Macaca fascicularis: one gene and its partners. The protein of the gene in region 1 purifies or fractionates together with the protein of each later gene. This does not show direct contact. Links are inferred from orthologs where the notes say so. Each region holds a gene or a part of one and is shown in the gene's direction. Other genes may lie near its edges. The genes, in order: SLC38A9, LAMTOR4, LAMTOR3 and LAMTOR1.

The links.
Region 2: the proteins of SLC38A9 (region 1) and LAMTOR4 purify together in Homo sapiens (affinity purification with mass spectrometry; 4 studies listed by BioGRID and IntAct, with this or other methods). This does not show direct contact. The link is inferred for Macaca fascicularis from reciprocal best matches to the Homo sapiens genes SLC38A9 and LAMTOR4.
Region 3: the proteins of SLC38A9 (region 1) and LAMTOR3 purify together in Homo sapiens (affinity purification with mass spectrometry; 3 studies listed by BioGRID and IntAct, with this or other methods). This does not show direct contact. The link is inferred for Macaca fascicularis from reciprocal best matches to the Homo sapiens genes SLC38A9 and LAMTOR3.
Region 4: the proteins of SLC38A9 (region 1) and LAMTOR1 purify together in Homo sapiens (co-immunoprecipitation; 5 studies listed by BioGRID and IntAct, with this or other methods). This does not show direct contact. The link is inferred for Macaca fascicularis from reciprocal best matches to the Homo sapiens genes SLC38A9 and LAMTOR1.

Annotation. Positions count from the first base shown.
Region 1 is NC_088380.1:61,147,949-61,152,058, reverse strand, and holds the start of SLC38A9 (neutral amino acid transporter 9), read left to right. Parts: upstream 1-1,283; 5' UTR 1,284-1,364; intron 1,365-2,083; 5' UTR 2,084-2,131; intron 2,132-4,110.
Region 2 is NC_088377.1:48,815,605-48,819,860, forward strand, and holds the start of LAMTOR4 (ragulator complex protein LAMTOR4), read left to right. Parts: upstream 1-1,437; 5' UTR 1,438-1,511; coding exon 1,512-1,514; intron 1,515-2,034; coding exon 2,035-2,115; intron 2,116-4,256. UniProt on the Homo sapiens protein: As part of the Ragulator complex it is involved in amino acid sensing and activation of mTORC1, a signaling complex promoting cell growth in response to growth factors, energy levels, and amino acids.
Region 3 is NC_088379.1:105,526,534-105,530,094, reverse strand, and holds part of LAMTOR3 (ragulator complex protein LAMTOR3), read left to right. Parts: intron 1-833; coding exon 834-892; intron 893-2,503; coding exon 2,504-2,637; intron 2,638-3,561. UniProt on the Homo sapiens protein: As part of the Ragulator complex it is involved in amino acid sensing and activation of mTORC1, a signaling complex promoting cell growth in response to growth factors, energy levels, and amino acids.
Region 4 is NC_088388.1:70,863,858-70,868,123, reverse strand, and holds the start of LAMTOR1 (ragulator complex protein LAMTOR1), read left to right. Parts: upstream 1-1,449; 5' UTR 1,450-1,578; coding exon 1,579-1,620; intron 1,621-4,266. UniProt on the Homo sapiens protein: Key component of the Ragulator complex, a multiprotein complex involved in amino acid sensing and activation of mTORC1, a signaling complex promoting cell growth in response to growth factors, energy levels, and amino acids.

The DNA of each region.
Region 1 (4,110 bases):
GGTGCCACCCTCCCTAGTTAATTTTTTGAATTCTTTTGTAGAGATGGGGTCTCCCTATGTTGCCCAGACTGGTCTCCAACTCAAGTGGCCTCAAGTGATTCTCCCACCTCAACCTCCCAAAATGCTGGGATTACAGGCATAAGCCACGGAGCCGGCCTAAATTTTGAGTTTTTTTCTGGCATTACAGACACTGTTTTTTTTCTGGTTTAAACAGAAAAAAGAAAAAGAAACAAAAAGAGCTACTGGCTTCCTTTGTAAGAAGAGCTAGGCCGGGCGCGGTGGCTCAAGCCTGTAATCCCAGCACTTTGGGAGGCCGAGACGGGCGAATCACGAGTTCAGGAGATCGAGACCATCCTGGCTAACACGGTGAAACCCCGTCTCTACTAAAATACAAAAAAAAAAAATTAGCCGGGCGAGGTGGCGGGCGCCTGTACTCGCAGCTACTCGGGAGGCTGAGGCAGGAGAATGGCGTGAACCCGGGAGGCGGGGCTTGCAGTGAGCTGAGATCCGGCCACTGCACTCCAGCCTGGGCAACAGAGCCAGACTCCGTCTCAAAAAAAAAAAAAAAAAAAAAAAGAAGAGCTTAGGGTTGCCACATGCTTTTCAGGGACTGACCTTGAACTGATTTTCATAACAAACACATTAATTTTACTTAGACTGTATGTTTACTTGGGGAGGTTTTGGGGAAAATTGCTGGGTATGTGGGGTGGGCCTCTAAAATCCTTGTAAAGCCGCTTTTAGCCTAGAGACTAACTTGCAAACACAGTTTTAAAAAACAAACCCAAATATCTAGACGACGGAGGGAGCATGCCAACTCAACAGTTTTTCAAACCAGCTTCCCTTTGCGTCTGTAGGGTCCAAGGACGTAACTAGATCACACAACACGCGCCTGGAAAGCCCAAAAGAGGGGTGATCCCTCGATGGAGGTGCCGCATCAGCGTTTTCTCACGTGGCCTCCGGGGCTCTATGAATGGCAAGAGATCGCATTCCTTCTACTATCCCTCCCGGCCTCCAGCCGGGACAAGGAACTGGAGCAAACTCCGGACTGCAGTTCCGACCAGACTTGCCTACCTAGGCGGGTCGGCTGCCCAGTCTCCTGAAGCCTTGGGGCTGGGCCCTGCGGTGATGGGCGTGCTGGCCGTCGCAGAGCCCTCTGGGAGTTGTAGTCCGTAGCGGCGAGAGGTTTGACAGCGACCGCCGGCTTGGCGCATTCAGAACTCCAACCCCCGCCGGCCCCCGCGGCCTAGTCTGTTGCCGCTTCCTGTTTGGACTGGGAGTCCCGCGGTCGCAAATTGTGAGAATTTGGGAAGGGAGTCTTCATCTTCTCGTCTAGTTCTCCAAGGTTGAAGGCTCGGCCTGCTCAGGTAGATCACGTTCCCACGTCTAGCATACTCGCCTCTCGGGGAGGTGGGGAGGTATCCGAGGGAAGGCGGCGGGAAGGGTTGAGGTTGGGGCGAAGCCGGCTGTCACCTGGGATAGTTCTTCAATGTAGCGCGTCAGAACCGTAGCTTCTTTTGGGGATCGGGGAGGCCAAAGTCTGGAGCCGCGGAGACTGCTCCGGAGGCACTGCGCGCGCTCCTCAAGGGCTCAGTGAAAGGAAGTCAGGAGTCCCTCGGGGTCTGAGGGAATCCGAGTGTATGTGGGAGTCGGTGTCAGCTGGAGCCTTAGGGAAAAGATAGGGTTAGGGTAAATGAACACCCTGACCCTCGGGTGAGAGAAGGAGGGAGCAGGAGAATTGGGGAGCTTGTAGGAATGGGAGCACCCTTCTTTCTCTCTCTTGAGACAGGGTCTCCCTCCGTCGCTTGGGCTTGAGTGAGGTGGCGCGATCATGGCTAGGAGCACCTTTCTCCATCCCGAGTTGGGGAGATCTAGGGGGGAACATGAGGGAGGAACCCCCTTTAGGCCTTGAGCTAGGACCACAGATGGGGTGAGGGCCATGACTGGTAAGCCCTCGCCACGCTTTTCACACGACTCAGTTGTGAGAATGAGTGTGTCGATAGTGGGTAGCTTGACATGTCAGCATAGTAGAGCTGGAAGAGGGGTTTGAGAGCAGCTAGTCAAGCGCATTCTCCTCATTTTACAGAGAAGGAAACTGAAGTCCACCGAGTTGGAGAAACCCACTCAACACCAGGTAACCATTTAATGGCAAACTTGACTAAAACCTAATTGTTATGACTCCCGGGCAGTGTCTTATCCATTGCCGAGCTCCGTCCCCCTCGTAGATCAGCACACTATAAGTTGTACCTCCACTTTGTTTTCTTTTTTCTTTTCTCCCCTCCCCCCCCCTCCCCCGCCCACACACACAGAGTCTCGCTCTATCGCCCAGGCTGGAGTGCAGTGGAGCGATCTTGGCTCACTGCAAGCTCCGCCTCCCTGGTTCAAGCGATTCTCGTGCCTCAGCCTCCTGAGTAGCTAGGATTACAGCTGCCCGCCACCACGCCCCAATAATTTTTGTATTTTTAGTAGAAATGGGGTTTCACCATGTTGGCCAGCCTGGTCTTGAACTCCTGATCTCAATGATCCTCCCGCCTTGGCCTCCCAAAGTGCTGCGATTACAGGCGTGGGCCACCGCGCCCGGCCCCTTTTTTCTTTTTAATATTTTCAGACATGACAAAGATCTGACATATGTAGGATAGCAGGCAGCTGCTGAGGAGAAAGGTTTTTTAAAAACGTTTTGGCCGGGCGCGGTGGCTCACACCTGTAATCCCAGCACTTTGGGGGGCTGAGGCAGGCACATCACGAGGTCATGAGATCAAGACTGTCCTGGCCAATATGGTAAAACCCAGTCTCTACTAAAAAAAATACCAAAACTAGCCAGGTGTGGTGGCGCATGCCTGTAGTCCCAGCTACTCACGAGGCTAAGGCAGGAGAATCTCTTGAACCTGGGAGGCGGAGGTTGCAGTGAGCCGAGATCGTGCCACACTGCACTCCAGCCTGGTGACAGAGTGAGACTCTGTCTCAAAAAAAAAAAAAAAACAAACAAACAAAAAAAAAATGTTTCAATAGGTCAAAATAACCCATGTCCTAACTTAAGAAAAATCTCTCTGCCTCGTAAACAACTACAAACTTCATGTTAAGATAGAAGGTTGGGCCGATTGTGGTAGCTAACACCTGTAATCCCAACACTTTTGGGAGGCTGAAGTGGACGGATCATTTGAGGTTAGGAGTTCAAGACCAGCCTGGCGAACATGGTTATACCCTGTCTCTACTAAAAATACAAAAATCATCCAGGCGTGGTGGTGTGCCTCTCATCTGTAATCCCAGCTACTTGGGAGGCTGAGGCAGGAGAATCACTTGAGCCTGGCAGGCAGAGGTTGCAGTGAGCCAAGATTGCACCACTGCACTCCAGCCTGAGCCACAGAGCGAGACCCTGTCCAAAAAAAAAAAAAAAAAAGTTGTCATCTATAGTTTCTTTGTTTCTAAGAAAATAAAATTTACCTTTCCTTCCCCTAGACCTCTGAGAACAGCTAGACTTAGATTTCTTTTCTTTTCTTTTCTTTTCTTTTTTTTTTTTTTGAGATGGAGTCTCGCTCTGTTGCCAGGCTGGAGTGCAGTGGCGCGATCTCGGCTCACTGCAACCTCTGCCTCCTGAGTTCAAGCGATTCCTCTGCCTCAGCCTCCCAAGTAGCTGGGACTACAGGCACACGCCACCACACCCGGCTAATTTTTTTTTTTGTATTTTGGTAGAGACGGGGTTTCACCATGTTGGCCAGGATGGTCTCAATCTCCTGACCTCGTGATCCGCCTGACTCGGCCTCCCAAAGTGCTGGGATTACAGGCGTGAGACACGTGGCCAGCCAGTTAGCCTTAGATGTCCAATCACAATCTTAAATACTATATATTTCAGTTACATACATAAAATAATATACTTTTAATTGTGATTTTGTAATACCCTTAATATTTACAATAAAGGGTAACTCAGCATAGGAGGATGGAATACCAACCTGAACTACAAATTAAAATAGTATTGTTTAGTATTTTTTTTTCTTTTTGGGGTTCTTTTTGCTCTGATACTCAAGCTTTAGTGCAGTGGCACTATCATAGCTCACTGTAACCTTGAACTCCTGGGTTCAAGCAATCCGCCTGCTTCAGTCTCCCGAAGCGTTGGGA
Region 2 (4,256 bases), on another chromosome or scaffold:
GACCTCAGGTGATCCACCCGCCTTGGTCTCCCAAACTGCTGGGATTACAGGTGTGAGCTACCATGCCCAGCCTTGATTGTTGTTTCTAACAAGTCTTAAAAGACACCCAGACTTCAACAATTGTTACTATATTCAGATTTTTTTGGTTTGTTTTTGAGACAATCTTGCTCTTTTACCCAGTCTGGAGTGCAGTAGCATGATCATGGCTCACTGCAGCTTCAAACTCCTGGGCTCAAGCAATTCTCCCACCTCAGCCTCCCCGGTAGCTGGGACTACATGTGCGGTATCATGCCTGGTTAATTTTTAAATTTTTAGAGATGGGGTCTTGCTATGTTGCCCAGGCTTCTAGAATCACTCTTCATATTACTCACTAACACTGCCTCCACCACATTAATACGGCAACAGGTCTAGAAATTATTTAAAACAAAAATTTCCAATGTTTACATTGTGTGATGTATGTATGTATGTATGTATGTATGTGTGTGTGTGTGTATCATTCCAAGGTACTGTTTCTAATTTTTTCCTGCAGAGAATATTCAGTATTGTATCTGCATTGGCTAGCTGGTGATTCTATTCACCATCACATTGTCCCAGACTGAATCTGAAGACAAAAAACCACTTTGGGAACAAAATCTTTTTTTTTTTTTTTTTTTTTTTTTTTGAGATGTAGTCTCGCTGTCTCCCAGGCTGGAGTGCAGTGGCGTCATCTCGACTCACTGCAAGCTCCACCTCCCAGGTTCGCGCCATTCTCCTGCCTCAGCCTCCCGAATAGCTGGAACTACAGGCGCCCGCCACCACGCCTAGCTAATTTTTTGTATTTTTTAGTAGGGACAGGGTTTCACTGTGTTAGCCAGGATGGTTTCCATCTTCTGACCTCGTGATCCGCCCGCCTCGGCCTCCCAAAGTTCTGGGATTACAGTTGTGAGCCACCGCGCCCGGCCAAGGGAACAAATTCTTGTCTTCAACAAAGAGCGGTCTTGAGTAGGCATAAAAGTAGCATTTGAAGGTTGGGCGCCCAGCCTTGAATAGCTTTTTACATGCATTGCACGTTATTTCCTTTTATTATCACGTTTTTTGGGTCCAGTCTTAAACCTGGGAAGGCATTCGTTTGGGAGGTCACACTGGCGGGCATCCTGGTTCAGGCGGAACCCAGACTCTAGAAAGCGCGCGCGGAGCCACACGGTCAACCCTGTCCCACTCCTGGCCCTCCCACACCGTCCCCTCCGCGGAAGCACTCCCGCCTCCTCTCGCTCAGGCACTGACTGAGAGGCGGAGAGATGGGTGTTAAAGAGGGGATATCACCAATCAACGTGCGCCTCCGGGAAGGAGCGCTTCGCACTGGCTGGTTGGGTCTGACGACGTGGCCACGATCCAATCCTCATGCTAGAGGCGCGGCTAAAGGGTAGGGAAGCAAGCAGAAGGAGGAGCGCGCCGGGTGCGAGCACGTGACCGGGGCCTGAAGCCGGAAGCTACCTATCTGGTAGGGAGCTCCACCAGCACCGAAGACTGCGATGGTGAGTGAGGACGCATGCGCGGGAGGACCCGCCGGGGGTTCCGCGTCTCTGCTCCCCAATCTGTGTGGTTTCCCCCTCGTGGGTCTGCGCTCCACCCTCACCTCCTATCCGCTCGGGGAGGAAGACGGGATGGAGATGGGAGGGATGGCGACGGGAATGCTGGGGAGGGGTCTGTGGGAGGGTGTTCTGGGGCTGCGGGTAGTCTGCAGGTCAGGGGCGGGGAGGTGGAGAGAGGGTCTGGGGGCAGGGGCCAGTGGGGCAGCGAAGTCCCCTCGGAGTAGCATAGGTGGAGCGTGGAAGGCCAGGGGAGCCCGGGGGCCGAGAGTGGGGGCAGATGGAGGCTCGGGAAGATCAGTATTGAGGACCATGTAGGGGGAAGGGAGCCGGGAAAGGACCTGGCTGGGGAATGAGAAAACCTGGGGCCATCGCCAATCAAGAGACTTGGGTTTGTAGGTGAAGGGTATCAGGGGCCATCCATCCCTCTAGCATGCTTCTCACTACTTGCATCTTTACCCACTAGACTTCTGCACTGACCCAGGGGCTGGAGCGAATCCCAGACCAGCTCGGCTACCTGGTACTGAGTGAAGGTGCAGTGCTGGCGGTGCGTTCTGGAAAAGGGAGGGGGTCCCTTAGTGCACACAGCCCGGTAACCCCTTCTAATATTGGCCCTTCTTTTCTCGACTTTTACCTGGTTTGCGGTCTGGCATCTATTAGGTTGGTACAAAAGTATTTGCAGTTTTTGCAATTACTTTCAGTAATCAGTCTGTGGAATCTTAGTCTCCTAACGGTTGCGGTTTATTTATTTATTTATTTATTTACACTTTTTGAAACTGAGTTTCATTCTTGTTGCCCAAGCTGGAGTGCAGTGGTGCGATCTCCGCTCACTGCAACCTCCGCCTCCGGGGTTCAAGCGATTGTCCTGCCTCAGCCTCCAGAGTAGCTGGGATTACAGGCATGTGCCACCACGCTCGGCTAATTTTTTGTATTTTTAGTAGAAACGGGGTTTCACCGTGTTAGCCAGGCTGGTCTCAAACTCCTGACCTCAGGTGATCCACCTGCCTCAGCCTCCCAAAGTGCTGGGATTACAGGCGTGAGCCAACATCCCTGGCCTTTATTTGATATTTCTTAAAGAGTCATTTGTATTTTGTTCCATAGTACTGTATAGTGTTAGGTCTCTAGATGTTTTTGATTTAGCTAGAGACAAAGCTTAAGGTTAAGTGTTGAAAACAATACAGGTGGTAAAAGACTATTGAAGGAATCCAGGATATTAAAAATTCAACATGTTATGACAAGGTAACTAACTTCCCTGGAGGTAGGAATTCAGCCCAGCTTAAAGGAGAGTATTTACAGTGGGGAGGTGGACATATTTGCAGGTGTGTGGCACTGACCTTTCTAAACTGATGGTAAGTCTGTGCTGAAAAGATTTGGGAAGATTTGAGGGAAGAGGAAGATATGGTCAGGGAGGATCTGATTGTGAAGGATCTTCAAGGCCAGGTTAACACACTTGAACTTATTCTTCTTGGAGGTAATACAGCTTGAAAGGTTTTTTAAACAGAAACAAGACCCAGTGAGGTGGTTGAGCAATATTGTTGTTAGTGATGTGAAGATGGGCAGAAGGAGGCATCATTAAGAGATTAGACTGGGCCAGGCATAGGTGGCTCAGGTCTTTAGTAATCCCAGCATTTTGGGAGGCCAAGGCGAGTGGATCACGAGGTCAGGAGAGCTAGACCATCCTGGCCAACACGGTGAAACCCTGTCTCTGTTAAAAATACAAAAACAAAATTGGCCAGGCGTGGTGGTGGGCGCCAGCTACTCGGGAGGCTGAGGCGGGAGAATGGCGTGAACCAGAAAGGCGGAGGTTGCAGTTAGCCAAGATTGCACCACTGCACTCCAGCCTGGGTGACAGAGCAAGACTCCGTCTCAAAAAAAAAAAAAAAAAAAAAGAGATGAGACTGGGCAAGTGGCAGTAAGAAGGAGCAAGGAGAGAAGAGTTTTGTTTTTGTTTTTGTTGTTTTTTGAGACAGAGTCTCGCTCTGTGGCCCAGGCTGGAGTGCAGTGGCATGATCTCAGCTCAGGGCAACCTCCGCCTCCCAGGTTCAAGCGATTCTCCCGCCTAAGCCTCCTGAGTAGCTAGGATTACAGGCGTATGCCACCACACCCGGCTAATTTTTGTATTTTTAGTAGAGATGGGGTTTTGCCATGTTGGCCAGGCTGGTCTCGAACTCCTGACCTTGTGATCTGCCCACCTCAGCCTCCCAAAGTGCTGGGATTACAGGCATGAGCCACCGCGCCCGGCCCTTTTTTTTTTTTTTTTTTTAGGACAGAGTCTTGCTGTCACTCAGGCTGAAGTGCAGTAGTGTGATCACATCTCATTGCAGTCTTGAACTCCTGGGCCCAAGCGATCCTCCCACCTCAGCATCCCAAGTAACTAGAACTATAGGCAAGCACCACCACGCCCAGCCATTAAAAAAAAAAAAATTTATAGGGACAGGGGTCTTGCTATGTTGCCCAGGTTGGTCTCGAAGTCCTGGCCTCCATCAGTCCTCCTGCCTTGGCCTCCCAAAGTGCTGGGATTATAGGTATGAGCTACTGTGCTTGGCTGGGAGAAGATATTTTAAAGGAGGAATCAGTATATCTTGCTAATGACTAGAAATAGGTAATAAAAGAAATACTTCTCTAGCTAGAACTCTAAAGCCTGGAAGAGTGATGATGCCTTAAGAAACATGTTCCTTAAGGCCGCGC
Region 3 (3,561 bases), on another chromosome or scaffold:
CACTATGAACTTTTTTTTTTTTTTTTTTTTTTTGAGACAGAGTCTTGCTTTGTTGCCCAGGCTGGAGTGCAGTGGCACGATCTCAGCTCACTGCAAGCTCCGCCTCCCGGGTTCATGCCATTCTCCTGCCTCAGCCTCCTGAGTAGCTGGGACTACAGGTGCCCACCACCACGCCCGGCTAATTTTTTTTTTTTTTTTGTATTTTCAGTAGATGAGGTTTCACCGTGTTAGCCAGGATGGTCTCGATCTCCTGACCTCGTGATCTGCCCGCCTCAGCCTCCCAAAGTGTTGGGATTACAGGCGTGAGCCACCATGCCTGGCCCCTATGAACTTTTTAACAATACTTGCCCCCAATTTTAGTTTTACGTTTGTTCTTGTGAGATTATTGATAACACACTCACTTTTTAGATCGGAAGCCACGTGAAGGCAATGATTGTGCTTATTTCTGTTTTTCATAGTATCAAAGTATTAAGTGCCACAAACACCGGCCATTTAATATTTGCATGAATGAAAAAAGAAGAAGGCTCTTTTTTGTCACTGCAGCCATTGCTGATAATCTTTCATGCTTTTGTAAACCATGGACTGATCATTCATTAGCAGTTTTAATGGAGAGTTAGCTTTGTCTTAGATTCTTATTAATAAACCGCATGAATTTATAAATATTATAAACATTTCTATAATAGACATTGATTCCATTTCTGGGAGAATTTTGGGGTCCTGTGGTTTTTCAGAAAATACATGAGAATTATTATGTCTTTGAGGTGTATAGTTTGAGAAAATGAAATATTTTATATTTTAACTTTTTTTATATTTTAACTATTTTCTTTTTCTAGTGTTGAAGGGCTCCATGCCATTGTTGTATCAGATAGAGATGGAGTACCTGTTATTAAAGGTAAAAGTGAACATTTAAATGCAAATATCTTCTTTGCTTTTGACTAAAAATGCGTGTAATTTACATCTGAGTAGTACAGCAGGCAAACATCTAAAATTCATTTTAGTAAATTTTAGGAGATGGTGGTCTTAGTATTGGCGGAAGTGTTTGCTTTTGTATGCTGAAGGTTGAATTTGAATCTACAGTGTATTATATATCAGGTGTATCATGTTAACATCTAGAGTTTAAGCATGGATTTATCACAGACCCATTTCCCGTTGAAGACATTTACAGTGCAATGTAAACCATTAGTAAATCTAAGTGATGAGAGTGAGCATGTAGGCAGCTAGATAAACACACAGACACCCCTACATTACACACACACACACACACACACACACACTTTATCAAATTGCTAGTTGTTTTAGGATAATACCCATGTATTTGAATCATAAGTAAACATGATGTCACAGAGAGTCAGTATGGATTCAGACAATTTTTTACTATTTTTATTTTATGGTATTATGAGCATGGATGTTCCTAGTTTTTTTGGGACACTGTAATGGCTTTATCAAACATTAAAGATTGGATAATGTTCTGTATATTTCGTGTACAATTTTCCACCTGGAGTTGTCATATATGTCAGATAATTTTAGACTTTAGAAATGAACGGAGGTTTAGAAGTCAAGTGATTTAGTTCTTTCATTTTATAAGTGAAGGTAATAAAGTGCAAAGACACTTGGACTTCATTAGCAGTTTCAGTGGAGAGTTAGCTGTGTCTTAGATTCTTATTAATAAACTGCATGAATTTGTAAAGATTATAAACATTTCTATAATAGACATTGATTCCATTTCTGGGAGAATTTTGACAAACACATTATAAGAACATGGAATATCAACAAAGGAGGTCCTGTGGTTTATAATCTTCAAACATTGCAGTCCAAAGTCGGGCGTGAGTCAGTAACAGAACCCATCATCTCCTGATGTGTGGTCCAGTGTGCTTTCTAACTCACTATAAAATGGTCGTTGAATGGTTGTGGACAGATTACTTGCTTTCTCTTAATTCTGTAATGAGGGATTTGAACAAAATAATCTCAGATTTTCCAGTTCTAATGTTCTTCATGAGGATATCTGTGTTAAAGCCTTGAGCCCTGCACTCATTAATACAACAAACTCCATGCAGACCTTTTAATGAGTGAGAGAAACACGAAACAGGTAACTAGCTGCAGATTGCTAATATCTATGAGAGATATTCCTTGCTGTGGGTTTTATAAGAGCAGAAGTTTTGTAACTTTTTTCATTAGTTTATTCTAACCTAGTCCTCAGATAACCAGTTAAATGTGCTTGATTAATCTATGTTTTAAGTTAGATATCAAGAAAAGGTAAACATTTAATTTTCTTTTTAAAATTTAAAAAAATTGTGAGAGTCAGCATTTCTTCTATTGTGATCAGTGAACTTTTGACTGAGCAATTTTTCCTGATTAGTGATGAGACCCCATTAGTGATATGATTTTCAATATTGTGAAACATAACCTTTGTGCTCAGTTTTAAACAGAGGTTTATGAAAAAGGGCTGTAAATCTCTCTATCATATCCTCTGCATAATTTTTATTTAAATCACTTATTTTTCTAGTGGCCAATGACAATGCTCCGGAGCATGCTTTGCGACCTGGTTTCTTATCCACTTTTGCCCTGGCAACAGACCAAGGGAGCAAACTTGGACTTTCAAAAAATAAAAGTATCATCTGTTACTATAACACCTACCAGGTAAGTTCATAATTATCAAATGATTTGCTGATTTCAGTTGTCATTTTTGTACCTTTTATATATAAAATAGTTTGTGTTATAGTTCTCAATTTCAGTTTTGAAGGGGATGAAATTGTAAAATTTTAGCCTTCAAATTGGTTGTGTTAAACGGTAGTAATTTTCTTCACATTTTATACCAGGAAATAATTACGATGGAAAAGTAATTAAGTGACTTAATAAAGTACATGTTATCCTAAAAAGTGTACGTCAGGTCACTGTTATCTCCAGTAGATGGTGCCCTTAGCTAAACAACTGTGATTTCTCAGATGACACACTTTTTTTGTTGTAGTAACAGATAAAAAAAACTTTCCTTGAAAGTTTATTAAATTTGCTCTTGCTACTAATTCCTTCATTTTTTGGAAACATATATATGTAATAAATGAGGTTATTATTTGTGGGAAAGAAGTTAGTTTTTACATGTCTCTTGATCTCAAGCTATATTTTCTTAAGACTGAATTAATTCCTTGTGCTTTAGAGCTATGTTTCCTAATCAATTGATGTTAAGTTACTCTTTTTTTTTTTTTTTTTCTTCCGAGACAGAGTCTGCCTGTGTCGCCCCATGCTGGAGTGCAGTGACATGATCTCATCTCACTGCAACTTCCGCCTCTCAGGTTCAAGAGATTCTCAAGCCTCAGCCTCCCAAGTAGCTGGGATTATAGGCATGTGCTACCAGGCCTGGCCAATTTTTGTATTTTTAGTAGAGATGGGCTATCACCATGTTGGCCAGGCTGGTCTTGAACTCCTGGCCTCAAGTGATCCCATCCACTTCAGCCTCCCAAAGTGCTAGGATTACAGACGTGAGCCACCATGCCAGGCCCATCTTTTATTTTAAAAGTTACATATTTTAATGTGTATTAGGTAAAACATAACCAAACCATCTGACCT
Region 4 (4,266 bases), on another chromosome or scaffold:
AACCTCAGGGTCTTGATTTGAGGGGTTATAAGAGGTACGAGATCTGGCGACTTCTGCGATCCCTTGGATCAGGAGATGGGGCATGGGGTGAGCCAAGGTGATGGGGTGACTGTAATGTACTCATTGATACGCAAGTTTTTTGTAAGCAAGGCCATGCCTTGGGCCACAGGTAAGAGTCAGAACCTGTCATTGTGCTCTAGGAACTCCCAAGTTTGGTAGGTGAGACTGACCCAGGAACATAGAATATAGTGTGATCACTATTGGATGTTCCACGACTACAGGGACTTTGGCTGTTTTGTGAACTGATGCATATCCAGATATAACAGTGTGTGGCACATAGTAGATGCTCAGCAAATATTTGTTAATAGATGCATGAATTAACACTGGATGAGGATTAAGCATAGAGAGCTGGACATGTCCAGAGAATGGGGTCAGAGAAGGTAATCAGGAGGACATTGTACTGAGTCTCGAAGACAGTAGGCAGACCAGGCTGCATGTGCAAAGTCCAGTAGATCAATCAGGAAACATCATTTCTCTATGTCCAGTGAAACAGATTGCTCACCCCTCCACCCCCTCACCCCTCACCTCAGAACATGCAGTGGCAGAGAGGTGTCAGGCTCTGCGTGACTTTGATATGTCAGATGGGTAATGTGCCAAAACAAGATTTGAGGGTGGGCGCATTTCACACACGCGGAATCACACGCGCATGAACAACAAATGGATCACTATACAATTTTGGACGGACTTGGACCTGTGTTCAGGGCCCAAGGGAAGACATGGGGGAGGAGGGGCGTTTAGGAAAAGAGAACTGATGGTCAGCTTTGTGCGTTAGATTTACTATGGGTCCTGTTAAAAAAAAGGCAGAATTAAAGATAAAAGCCTGAAGGCAGAGAGGTCAGTGAGGTGACTTCTATCTCCTCCACCAGGATTTATCTCCGCTCCGCGTCAGCATGTGAAGGTAGTATAAGGTCCCTTCTTCCTGTAAGTCGCAGATCCCCAGCCCAGGTGCAGAATACACCCTCCGTGTATTCACCCCCAGCCCAGCTGGGCGATACACCCTCTGTTCCCCTACTGGGTACCGGTCATCTGGATCCTCTGTGTGTGCACCCAGGCTGTACGATCTAGGAGCGTCAGGCCTGGATCCCACTCGCCCCTCGCATGGCATTTAGAAGAGTATATCACGAGGGCATACAAGGGCATTTGGTACGAGTTCGCTCAATGGCCCAGAGAAGTGGCCTAGTGGCCACGAGAACGCATAACACTATTCACGACGGCCACTACTGCCAGTTTAGAGACTGGAAAGATGAAGTCATGTGATCCGCCCCTCCCTTTCCTCGCTTCACTTGCCTGCGTGTCCGGTTACGCCTTCCTATTGGTTGACAACGATCACGCGCTAGCGGGCGGGACCGGAAGCCGGGGTATTGCCTGAGGCGGCCCAGCGGCTCCGGGAGAAGGGATACTGGGGGTGGCGGCGGGTGGTTGCCTGCGGGAGGCAGTTGCGGGTCATGTGACCGGAAGGGCTCCTGACGGACGCCGTCCCTCCTCGGCGCGGCCTGAGCGCCCGGCCTGACCCCTGCCATGGGGTGCTGCTACAGCAGCGAGAACGAGGACTCGGACCAGGTGCGGCCGCGGCAGGCGGGGCTCGGGAATGAGGGCTAAGACCCTGGGGCTTGGGGCCCCAGAAAGAAATCTGCGGAGAACGGGCCAGGACTGCAGGGCTCGATGAATACGGAGGCCTGGAGGGGACAGATTACACAGGAGACGCCAAGCCGGACTCCTACCCCAGTTAAAGCCCCAGCTTTCTACGCGGTCCCCGCCTCGGGGTGTACAGGCAGCCGCCTGTCCGGCTCGCTCCCACCACTTCCGTTTGCTCCTACCTTCAAAACTTTCCAGATTCAAGGATCCTCAGTCTAGGTCCCCGGGAAATACTCCCTTCCCAGCTTCCTGTCTTCTCTGTATTAGTGGGCTTTGCGAATCCATTGCAGGGGTGGGTAAGCTGAGGCCCTGAGTTAGGCTGTCCTGCGATGAATCAGGAATTCATGTATCGTCTTAGTCCCTGGGGTTGCAGAAGGAAGGTCGCTGCTAGTTTAGGGCCAGAGGACGATTCTGGAAGTTGGTGGCCTTTGAGTTGGCCAATGAAGGATTTAATGGATACAGTGAGGACATCGGGACATGGGGGAAATTGTCTGGGAAGCAACAAAGAGGGTTTAGCTTTGACTAGATTGTGGTAAAAGAGAAATGGAGCGGGAAGTTCATTTGGGTCTGAGTTTGGCTTGCCTCAGTGCAGTCTGCCTGGGGCCTGAGGGTTCCTTTAGCTGGAGACATGCCTGTTCTGAGAATTTGGCTGTAGATCTGATCCCTCTGACGAAAGGCTTAGGCTGGGGAGACCTGTACAGTTTTAAATTCTCCCTCTTCCTCTTAGTGCATTCTCACTTCTCTCCACATTCTAATCCCTGCCCCGCCTGGCCTGACATTCAAGGATGAAGTCACAAGTTGCTGTCCACTCTTTTTTGATCGTCTCTAACCCTGGATTCTACATTTGAACATATAGTAGACCTGAGAAAGTAGAAAGGTTTCAAGTAGCTCACAGTCTAATAGGGGAGATGGTCACAAAAATAGATTATATCACTGGTACTTGGGAAGTAGTTATTTCTTCAGTGAACGTATTTTGGATTAAGGGCTTAAGCTTAGGAAAATGTCATTTGTGGCCGGGCGCGGTGGCTCAAGCCTGTAATCCCAGCACTTTGGGAGGCCGAGACGGGTGGATCATGAGGTCAGGAGATCGAGACCATCCTGGCTAACACGGTGAAACCCCGTCTCTACTAAAACAGGCAAAAAAAAACTAGCTGGGTGAGGTGGCGGGCGCCTGTAGTCCCAGCTACTCGGGAGGCTGAGGCAGGAGAATGGCGTGGACCCGGGAGGCAGAGCTTGCAGTGAGCTGAGATCCGGCCACTGCACTCCAGCCTGGGAGACAGTGAGACTCCGTCTCAAAAAAAAAAAAAAAAGAAAATGTCATTTTTATGGGAAGCAAGGGTCGCTTCTGGTTCTCAATTCTTCATACACCCAATGAACACATATTTCCTTTGCTCTGTGTTAGGCATGTGTCATGCCTAATACCTCTCACTTCACCTCCACCTTTTTGAGAAAGAGACAACAATAACCCTGCCTACTGGGAGAGCTGTGGCCTAGTGGGAAATTGTCCCTTAAAGCATAATGTGGACTCTTGCAGGGAATGAGTCAAGAAGGATTAATGCCTTATGAGAAAGGATACCAGCTTCTACTTGGAAGGGAGAGCTGGGCCTGCTGCTCTCCTGAATCTCTACCTTCTCCTTGGTGGGCTCTCCTTTCTGTTCCTAACACCCAGAGAAGATGTTTAATCACTGCTGGGTGATTTGAGGCCTCACGTAGCAAGAGCCGTAACCATCCACCTCCCAGAGTCCCTCTTTCAGTTCTTGGGCAGGCTCCTCTCCCACTCTCATCTCTGTCTCTTTATCACAATAAAAAATGTACAACACATTACAGTTTACAAAGGGCCGTGATAGTTATCTAATTTGACTCTTGCCAGACATCTGTCATATTAGTGTGGGTTATGTCTATTTAAAGGTGAGGAAAAAGTTCAGAGAAGCTAAGTGATTTGGCCAAGCTGGGAAGTGCTAATGCCCGGGTGTTCTGATGCCAAGCCATGTACTTTATCCATGGGGCCAAGCAGTCTCATCTATGCCCCTAGACCAGGTGGCCAGTCATGGGCAGGGTGCTATGTCTGTGCTAAGGTAGACAGTGAAACCCTGCCTCTTGGGTTACACTGACGCAGAGACAAACCTTGATGTGACAAACCTAACCCATGCTCCACTCGCACTTCGGGAGTGGGGTGATACTTGTCTACTCTGAAGGGGGTAGCATGGCCTCTTCTTTAAGTCTAGGTTTCAAGAAAACAACCTTGTTCCTCCCTTGATCTTAGCTGAAGGCTGAGAAGTGATCAGCCAGCCTTCTTCTTGAAGAACCCCTGATAGGGAAGAGACTACCCTGTCCTGCAGGAAGATCTGTCTGAAGTGGAGCTGGGAGAAGGACAGACACATAGGAAGCTAACTTGGGCCTCATTATGGAGCCAGCTTTCCTTAGAAATACATAGTTTTATCTTTGGCAAACATTTTGTCTTTTTAGCTCTTTAATGCTGAGCCTGTGTTTTAGGGAGGAAGGGTGTCTGGGAGTTTACAGAGGTGATGGGGCAAAGCCCACAGCTTCTGTCTTTTGCTGCTGGGAACTGGA